Bombyx mori: one gene and its partner. The protein of the gene in region 1 interacts with the protein of each later gene in a pairwise test. Links are inferred from orthologs where the notes say so. Each region holds a gene or a part of one and is shown on either strand. Other genes may lie near its edges.

Evidence for each region.
Region 2: the proteins of RIMS-binding protein 2 (region 1) and JNK-interacting protein 1 interact in a two-hybrid assay, tested with the Drosophila melanogaster proteins (2 studies listed by BioGRID). The link is inferred for Bombyx mori from reciprocal best matches to the Drosophila melanogaster genes Rbp and Aplip1.

What each region holds. Positions count from the first base shown.
Region 1 is NC_085122.1:8,935,004-8,938,837, forward strand, and holds part of RIMS-binding protein 2, read left to right. Parts: intron 1-747; coding exon 748-821; intron 822-1,964; coding exon 1,965-2,345; 3' UTR 2,346-3,834.
Region 2 is NC_085107.1:7,555,437-7,560,068, reverse strand, and holds the start of JNK-interacting protein 1, read left to right. Parts: upstream 1-1,629; 5' UTR 1,630-1,803; coding exon 1,804-1,925; intron 1,926-2,109; coding exon 2,110-2,348; intron 2,349-4,632. UniProt on the Drosophila melanogaster protein: The JNK-interacting protein (JIP) group of scaffold proteins selectively mediates JNK signaling by aggregating specific components of the MAPK cascade to form a functional JNK signaling module.

The DNA of each region.
Region 1 (3,834 bases):
AATAATTATTGTAAAGTTTAAAAAAAGCAAAAGGTTCTCAAAGTTGACGAATCGATCGGCGTCCCCATTGTTTAGGTAAGTGTCGGCGACTGACGAAGCGTGTCCGTCCCGAACATTGAGAGCTTTGAGTGTTTCATGTTTGCACCTTGGACTTGCTATGTGACTATCGAACGACGCTAGCTATTTCGCTCAGATAACCTCTATCATCTTTCTTGTACGATTGCGACGGGACTTGCCGAATTTTGTTAGTTATAATATTTAAATTTACAGCAAAGATTTAATGTTTAAAACAAATGCAAGTCCGGTTGCAATCTACGGAGCACAAAGACTCTTGGTGTATACATTTTGCTAAAACACCATCTTGGATTACACAGTCACATAAATCGTTAAATTTTTTAAAGAAATTATAAAAAAGATGAGGTCACACGATACGCCCCCACATGTATCGAATAGGGAAAATGCGAAATAGTTTTTTTTGTTTTTTGTATTATTATTTTTTGTTTTTTCTTTGTTTTTCGTTTAATCTATCCAATTATCTATCCTATCTTTATTTTTGTTTAACCTAACCCGTGAGGTCTAATCCAGTGAGGCTCCACACGTAATTAGCACACACGAGTGGGTAGGCTGACGTACAAATACACGCAACATAGACTTGCACAGAGCCCGCGGTGTCGGTGAAGTGTGATCCAAGATTCGGGTGGTTGTCTGTGGTCACTATATATGTTGGGTGTATTGTCTGTTTGCTAGATGCCTGCCCTCTTCCCCCTTCTCAATTAGACCACAACACATGCGCCAGTAATCCAGAACAGGCGAATTCTCAGGTAAAAATTTACCGTTTAATAAATCGAACCCACAAAAACTACTACTTCAGATAAACTAAGCAATTATACTAGTCTTATTATGTTCAACTATCACTTTCATATATTTAGATGAATTATTGTTTTCTCACTGTTTCCTTTCTTCATTTTTATTTTAATTTTTTCTCTATAATATTTTATCGTTACGTTTCACGCTGCGCTCAGTGTACAGATGAGGGCGTTTTTAAATGAAACTGATCGCTAGTACTTGGTCCTTTACTATTTACATATTATTATATTTAATAACGAACGGAACCAGAATATAGACACATTAGCTCTCATAACATATGCTGACCAGTTTCTATAAGTACTCAACATTAACACTGTCGCATACTTCACTCACATTGATTTACAATAGCTCAATCACCATCTTTTTAAGTGACTGCATAAGCATTCGAGGCCTGTCAATGTGGTCTACACGATTACAGCGTTTTATTTTAACTTGTCAATGACATGCCTATTTGTGTGTACTTCGGTCCGAAGTACTTGCATTAATCGGGTAGTATATTATAACACGTTCTCACAAATGCTTTCTGTTGTAGTTTATCAAAGCATGAGATGCATGTCTCAATCTCGATCAATAATTAGATCACGACGCGGCGACGCGTTTATAAAAGTAAGAATAATTTTGATTTAGTATCTTTCACTCGCTTGGTGCATGGAAACGGCATGTTCAGTCAAAAGCACGAAATCCAACGCGTTCTTAATGTTGTCTGTACTACAAGTGATATAAATAAATTTAATCTCAAGATAAAACATCAAAATAAACAGTTTGAAAATAAAATTTCAAAAAAAAAAACAGGTACGAATTAATTTATTACCAGAAATTCCATTTTATGCTTCTTTTCCCTGTTGGATTGGAAACGATGTAACCGTACTTATTCTACTCAGTAAATTCTAACGCATCGATATGGCAAGTATCGTGACATATCGTTCTTTCAAAGTAAAATTATCATAGATGTCACATTCTCTATTCAAATTTAACTATTCTGAAGCACATAAATTGCAAAATAAATTTTTTCACAGGCAAAAATTTAATTTTTTCACATTCCTGTTACAAAAATAGGGTTGTGGTTGTACGATGAAATAATAAATAATTGGCAACAGGCGAGGGGGAGAGGCGCGTCGAGCGGACAGCCCCCGAACACGATCGCGCGAACGAGCGCTGGTAATGCGGGCACCCCCACCGTCCAGTCGCCCGGCAACGCACCCCCCAGCGGACCCCCCACCTCCAACAACTCCGCGAGCACTCCGCTTAATGCGACCGGGCCCACTAGCACAACGACGGGGGGTCCTACGGCGCAAACAACTACCAGACGCGGAGGTCCAGCGGTCGTGCCTTCCGCGCAGCCCCTCACGCCGGCGCAGCCCCCCTCATCCCAGCCCAACCTGATGCAGAAGTTCTCCGAAATGACGGCACCCGGTGGCGACATTCTTAGTAAAGGCAAAGAACTGATCTTCATGAAATTCGGTCTCGGTGGTAAATAATGTCGGTCGCAGGGGGTCGCGGCGTGCGACTCCCGCCGCGCTGTCTCGTCCACTCCCCCGGTGCCCTGGTACTGGCTGGTACTCCTGCGGCTAATCCAAACTATCTATCCGGCTCTTCGTGGAGCTTGTATTTAATTTAGGCATGTTGTAAATAGTTATATGCAATACACGCACAGTATAGTGGATATCTGATCGTTAGTGCTATCTCGGTAGATTCATGGATGGAGCTCAGACATCTGGGAATAGTTGTACCTATATCTAAAGCTTCTCTATCTCCGAAGTTTGCTCGTTAACTACTTAGGTTAGAAATAAATATGAATTATATCATTGTTATTGTTTATGCGATAGTAGAGTTTGACTTGTGTTATTTCTTGCGTAGAATAAGAAATTATAATGTTACCGTCTAGTTGTTACTTCATATTCCTTACGGTGTAGTCTTGTTGTAATTTTCTAATTTACGTTTTAAATCTAGCTAGCTGTGTGAATAGCCCTTGAAAATATTATAAAACAGCGGAACAAGAATGTGAACTTCCTCTAAAGTCTGATCTCACGGAAAAATTACGATTAGTTATTGTTGTTTATGATAAATGTTTTGTTAACGCTAATCTTTGTACAATGCTATGGTGCAACCGTCCCTTTTAAATAAACGGAATCGATTTAAAAAAATATCGATTGACTTTTAATCGACGTTCGGCGGTCATGATCGTCAATGAAAAATATTGTATGGAAAGCAGGAACACGTATTTTATTATTTATAGAAATTTGCAAAAGTGAAGTGTTGAAAAGTTTGAAAGCTAATTTTAAAAAAAATGACGTCATAATTTCACTTTCATCTCGATTCCATGCTGTCAGTAAAATTTATATACCTTAAAATCGATTAAGTAATTGAATCCCTTTAAGGTATAATAATTATTCTCGAATAGAAACTAAGATACTGTGATAGTAGACGTGATACCATCTATATTCTAATTGTACTATACATTTACTTCACACAAAACATTCTCGACTGCATTGGACAGGAAATTCGTTCGCATTTTTGCCATTTGAAATTGAACTTTATATTCGAAGAAGATGTACAATAACTTGTCATTTATTGTGGCAATAGATAATCGTGTATCGATAAGAACTATATTACGAAGGAAACTTCATATAATAGTTACTTTTCTTACGTATCCAAAAGCCGTAGACGTAATTAAACACGTCTAACGTTTAATCTGGTATTAGGTTCATAATAAAAAAAAACATTTATGACAAAGGCGAATTAACCCAATGACAAGACTGCTTGCATGGAGAAGATATTTTATATAAGTTATAAATCAATAATGCATCACTGATGTGTTTTGATTTCAAGTTAGAAATTCATTACCAAAATAATATCACGTACACTTAATTATTTTAATAAATGATCACCATAATAAATAATGTTTGACTGCGTAATGAATAATCGTAATCAAACATAATTCAGTAATTTATTCCGAGATAATTATAA
Region 2 (4,632 bases), on another chromosome or scaffold:
GTAATATAATTTAATATGAACGTACATTCATTCTACAACGAAGAAAGACTATATAGAAAAACAGAAATTTGAAAATATAATTTAATATGTATATGTAAGGAAAAAAACCTTTTAAAAAGATTTTTCTTAGACAAGTTCACTTACATGTCATTCAATGTCGAGAATAATTTAATCTTTCATAATAATATTGAATATTATTGTGTTAAATATTAATTTACGCAGAGATATTAAGGGCTTTAAATGTTGTTTTCATATTTATATTGCAGGTGAGTAATTATTTTTTTACATAAAATTATTATAATATTAATATTATATTATTAATATACACTCTCTGTATTGATATTAGAGAAAACGCAGTTCAGTCTATTATTTTCTGGAGTATTTGATGTCATTAAATACATAATTGAATATTAAAAGTAGAAGAGTACGAAAATAATAAATTTACTGATCTGACGGCGACATCTATTATTGAAGTAACTCAATTCTGTTAAGTTACGCTGATTTGTTTTAAAGTACAAGTATACCGCAATAGATGACGTTGTAATACAATCTTCAATCATTTCAATGAATTTATTTACTACTAGCGACCCGCCCTCGCTTCGCTTCGGAAACATTAAAACAAATATGAAACAAAACAAAAAAAAAAAAGTAACCTATGTTCATCAGGGACAATGTTGGCTTCTAATGGAAAAATAATTTTTCAAATCGGTCCAGTAGTTTCGGAGCCTATTCGAAACAAACAAACAAACAAATCTTTCCTCTTTATAATATTAGTATAGACCAGCTAACCCGGCAGACTTCGTAGTGCTTCAATCGATAAATAAAATACATAAACTTTTGGGGGGGACATTAAAAGAAAAACAAAGTTGATATTTTTATTTAATTCCGAGCATTTTCATATTTATCTACCTTTTAAACCATCTCTGGACTTCCGCAAATAATTCAAAACCAAAATTAGCCAAATCGGTCCAGCCGCTCTCGAGTTTTAGCGAAACTAACGAACAGCAATTCATTTTTACATATATATACATTAATATTTATTGCAAGTACATAGTCAGTTTTCTATCCAACTGTTTCAAAATAGTGTGATGTTATTACGCCCTGATGTACTAACGCCGTGAAACTCCACTTCAAAAGAGAAAAGAGAAACTCCAAATGATGTGCTCCTAATTTAATTTATTTCCAAGTGCACAGTGCTGTGGTTTCAGCAGCTTGAAATAACTTATTCTATTCTATGCACCTAAAGGATACCAAATTTATTTTTAGTACGTTATTATACTTTTTTTTCTAACAAATACCCATTTTCGTCACAAATCCTACATTGATTGTGTTCTGTGATCGAAATAAAAAATAGCGTTATGACTAGTATTTGCTATTCCTTCTCGTCTTTACAATTATATATTTACTAATGTAACATCTCTTATTCGCACACGCGCATAATTCACTCATTGATTTTAGTTTTTTTTTTCTATTATAGTACCTAATCTGCAAGCATGCTTCAGTAAGTAAATAATATTTGATTAACCACCGTGAAGTTCATTGCAGCTACGAATGTGTATTTTTAGTGAAACAATACTAAAAAAAACTGTCATGACTGACTTGCATGTGAGTTCCGCTAATATTTACTCACACGCATAAGCATAAAATTCAAACTCCCAAATCCTGTTTTGTATTAGGGTGACAAAAGCACGCTTGCGCTCTGGTCCCCATCGATGCGCGCGCATTTCTACTGTTTGAAAACTGTGTGCTATTACTGTCCAAGAGACATGTCTGGGTCGATAGAGTTGCAGGGAGCAGTCGCGCATGCGACATTCTCTCTGCTCAACAATCAGGTGTAGCGACATGGCCGATAGCGAGTTTGAAGAATTTCGACGAGTTTTTGATAGACTACCGCAACACATTAAGGCCCCAACGCCTTTTTACTCGTGAGTACAAATTTATTATTATCATTGACATACAACACGGGCCGCCTTTCATTTTTACGCGTATCGCAAGTGATACACTAATTCGCGTCACGTGAGCTGCTATGTTCTTTGGATTCCCTCTATAATTTGTCGCGCAACGGATTGTTTTAGATACATTAGTGATACACATGCTATCGTTGTATAGATTAGTGCCAAATGTTGGATTCGAAGATGAGTCACCTTCCTCGAAAAGTGAAGGTAGCCCCGAAGAAGACAGAGGATGTGTAGGCGAAACCGATGGTCGGTCATCTATTCCGGAAAATCCGGAGTCTCCACCGCCACCGGCAGACGCAGCAGACACACAACGCAGTCCTCGTCACCAGACGTTTACAAATGGCGAAAGGCGAAGGAGAAAACTCCCTGAGATCCCGAAACATAAAAAATGTAAGATCCATTATTGATGATATTTAATACATTTTCGTGTTCAATGCAACTGCGCGTAGCGATTGTGATCACTTTATTCTTTCAGGCCTAGCGATCGTTATTATCAGTAAAAACACTTATTTCGAGTCAATAAATTTATTTTCAAGCGACTAAAGAGAATATAATCACTACGTTAAACATTGAAAGTCAAATAAGAATAGTTTATTTTTATAGGAAAGGTCAACATAACAATCGTCTATGAACGCAAATTCCAAATCTGATTGTCTCGTTGTAACTCATATCCGGATTCAATGACCGAATTTGGTATCTAGGTGCACTTGTTCTTGCCTTACGCCTTAGTCTGCTCCTGGAATTTTAGGTTAGTCGGTTAGGTTGGTTGGTTTTAGGCTGGATGGTTTAGGTCCTTAATTTTTAATTAGTTAGTCCTTAATTTTAATCAGACCTAGCATTCCCTATACTATGATAACAATAGACTGATATACTTCCTTATTATATACGTATATACATTTAGATATTGAATACATAGACAGAGCATACAAACATGTTGATCACACAAATGCTTACCCGATGTGGGAATTGAAGCCAAGATCCTTGACCCAGCCGACAAGGGCGCTAGCTACAGCACCACCGAGCTAGTCACCTACTGATTTCTAAAATAGTTTTATTTAAAATGTTGAACTATTTAGCTCAATTGGTTTTAGTAAATTACTTTATTGTTGGAAAAAAATAATTAAAAACCTATTAAAAAAACTGACATTTTGCTAATTAAATATGCGATTATTAACTAACAATGAAGACTTGACCTAAATTTTCTAGATTGAATCAGAAGCTTTTTATTTATTTATTGCTTAGATGGGTGGACGTGCTCTCAGCCCAACTGGTGTTCAGTGGATCTCATAGACATCTATAATGTAAATGCGCCACTCACATTGAAATATAAGTTCTAAGGTCTCTGTATAGTTACAACGGCTGCCCCACACAGAAGCTTAATTAAGATATTAGTTTTTGAAATTCATCGTTAACTAGAATTACATCGTGGTTGTAAAAAAAATGTTCTTAATAAACTAGCTTTAACAATTAGTCCAGAACAGGTTCTTCCTTACTACCTATTAAAATACCTAAAACTTATAACATTTTATTAAGTCTTATACAAGATATGCAATTTTCGTTTTAATTCGATGAAATTTGCAACGACACTTTAAATTTAAAATGATTACCGACAGTGAGTTCTTGTGAGTTTCAAAATTTAAAGTTTCAAAAACACGTGTAACGGTAGGCACGACCCAATTTCGAAAGAATGATCACTCGCGAACTCCGTATTCCTTCATGTCCGTCTTAAGAGCATTATGGCATTGCTAGTTATATTTTAATTCCTTGTTTGTTTCTTATTTTCATAACTACAAATAGTTATATTATAAAAAAAAAGGAATGAAACCGATGTCAACAAAAGTCGTCTTCAGAGAGTTATTGGTTCAAGATAAGGCGTTTTGTTAATATGACCACGAGATTTGAAATCTCTTATGTGTATAAACGTAGTTTTCGAGAAAATCTAATAAAACTACCTCATGAAAAATATATTATCCGAATATTTTTTTAGCACATAGGATACTTTGATCTACAATAAAATCAATCAATCAATCAATCAATCAAATCAATCAAATCAAAAAAGTTTTATTCAACATAAATGAAAGTACATACTTGTTGAACGTCAAAAGAACTACCGCCAATTCACAAGAATTAGCCTCCGTCCTGAGAAGAATTGGCAAGAAACTCAGCAGGCATGTCTTTTTTTTTTTAAATATTAGATTATTTTTTTTTTAAATATAAGATTTTTTTAAATATTCATTTTTACAATAAGTAACTATAACATAACAATTATTACAATATTGAAATGCCCGGAGCGAGCAACTCATTCCCACTTTGTGCAATCTTCTAAATGCAAACCGACACTTAGAATTTTTTTTAAGATTGACGCGTAATAAAGTTAAATATTGAGATATGCAGATTGCTTTTGCTGAGTATAGGTATTCAAAATAACATTAATAATATATGAAAACATCATTTTGACCCAAAATGTCACATAGGAGATTTCAAATTTGCAACGACGTAATATTGTTTAAGTGCAGTGCATGTGTGGGTTTCGCAGTAAAATTCACGGAATTTATTTATAACATCGATTCTTTTGAAGAGAGTCTTCGGTAATTTGTAGGTATATATTTTCAAAATATGGGTACCTAAACTTACAAAATAAAAATAAAACTACACAGTTAAAACACAATTGGTC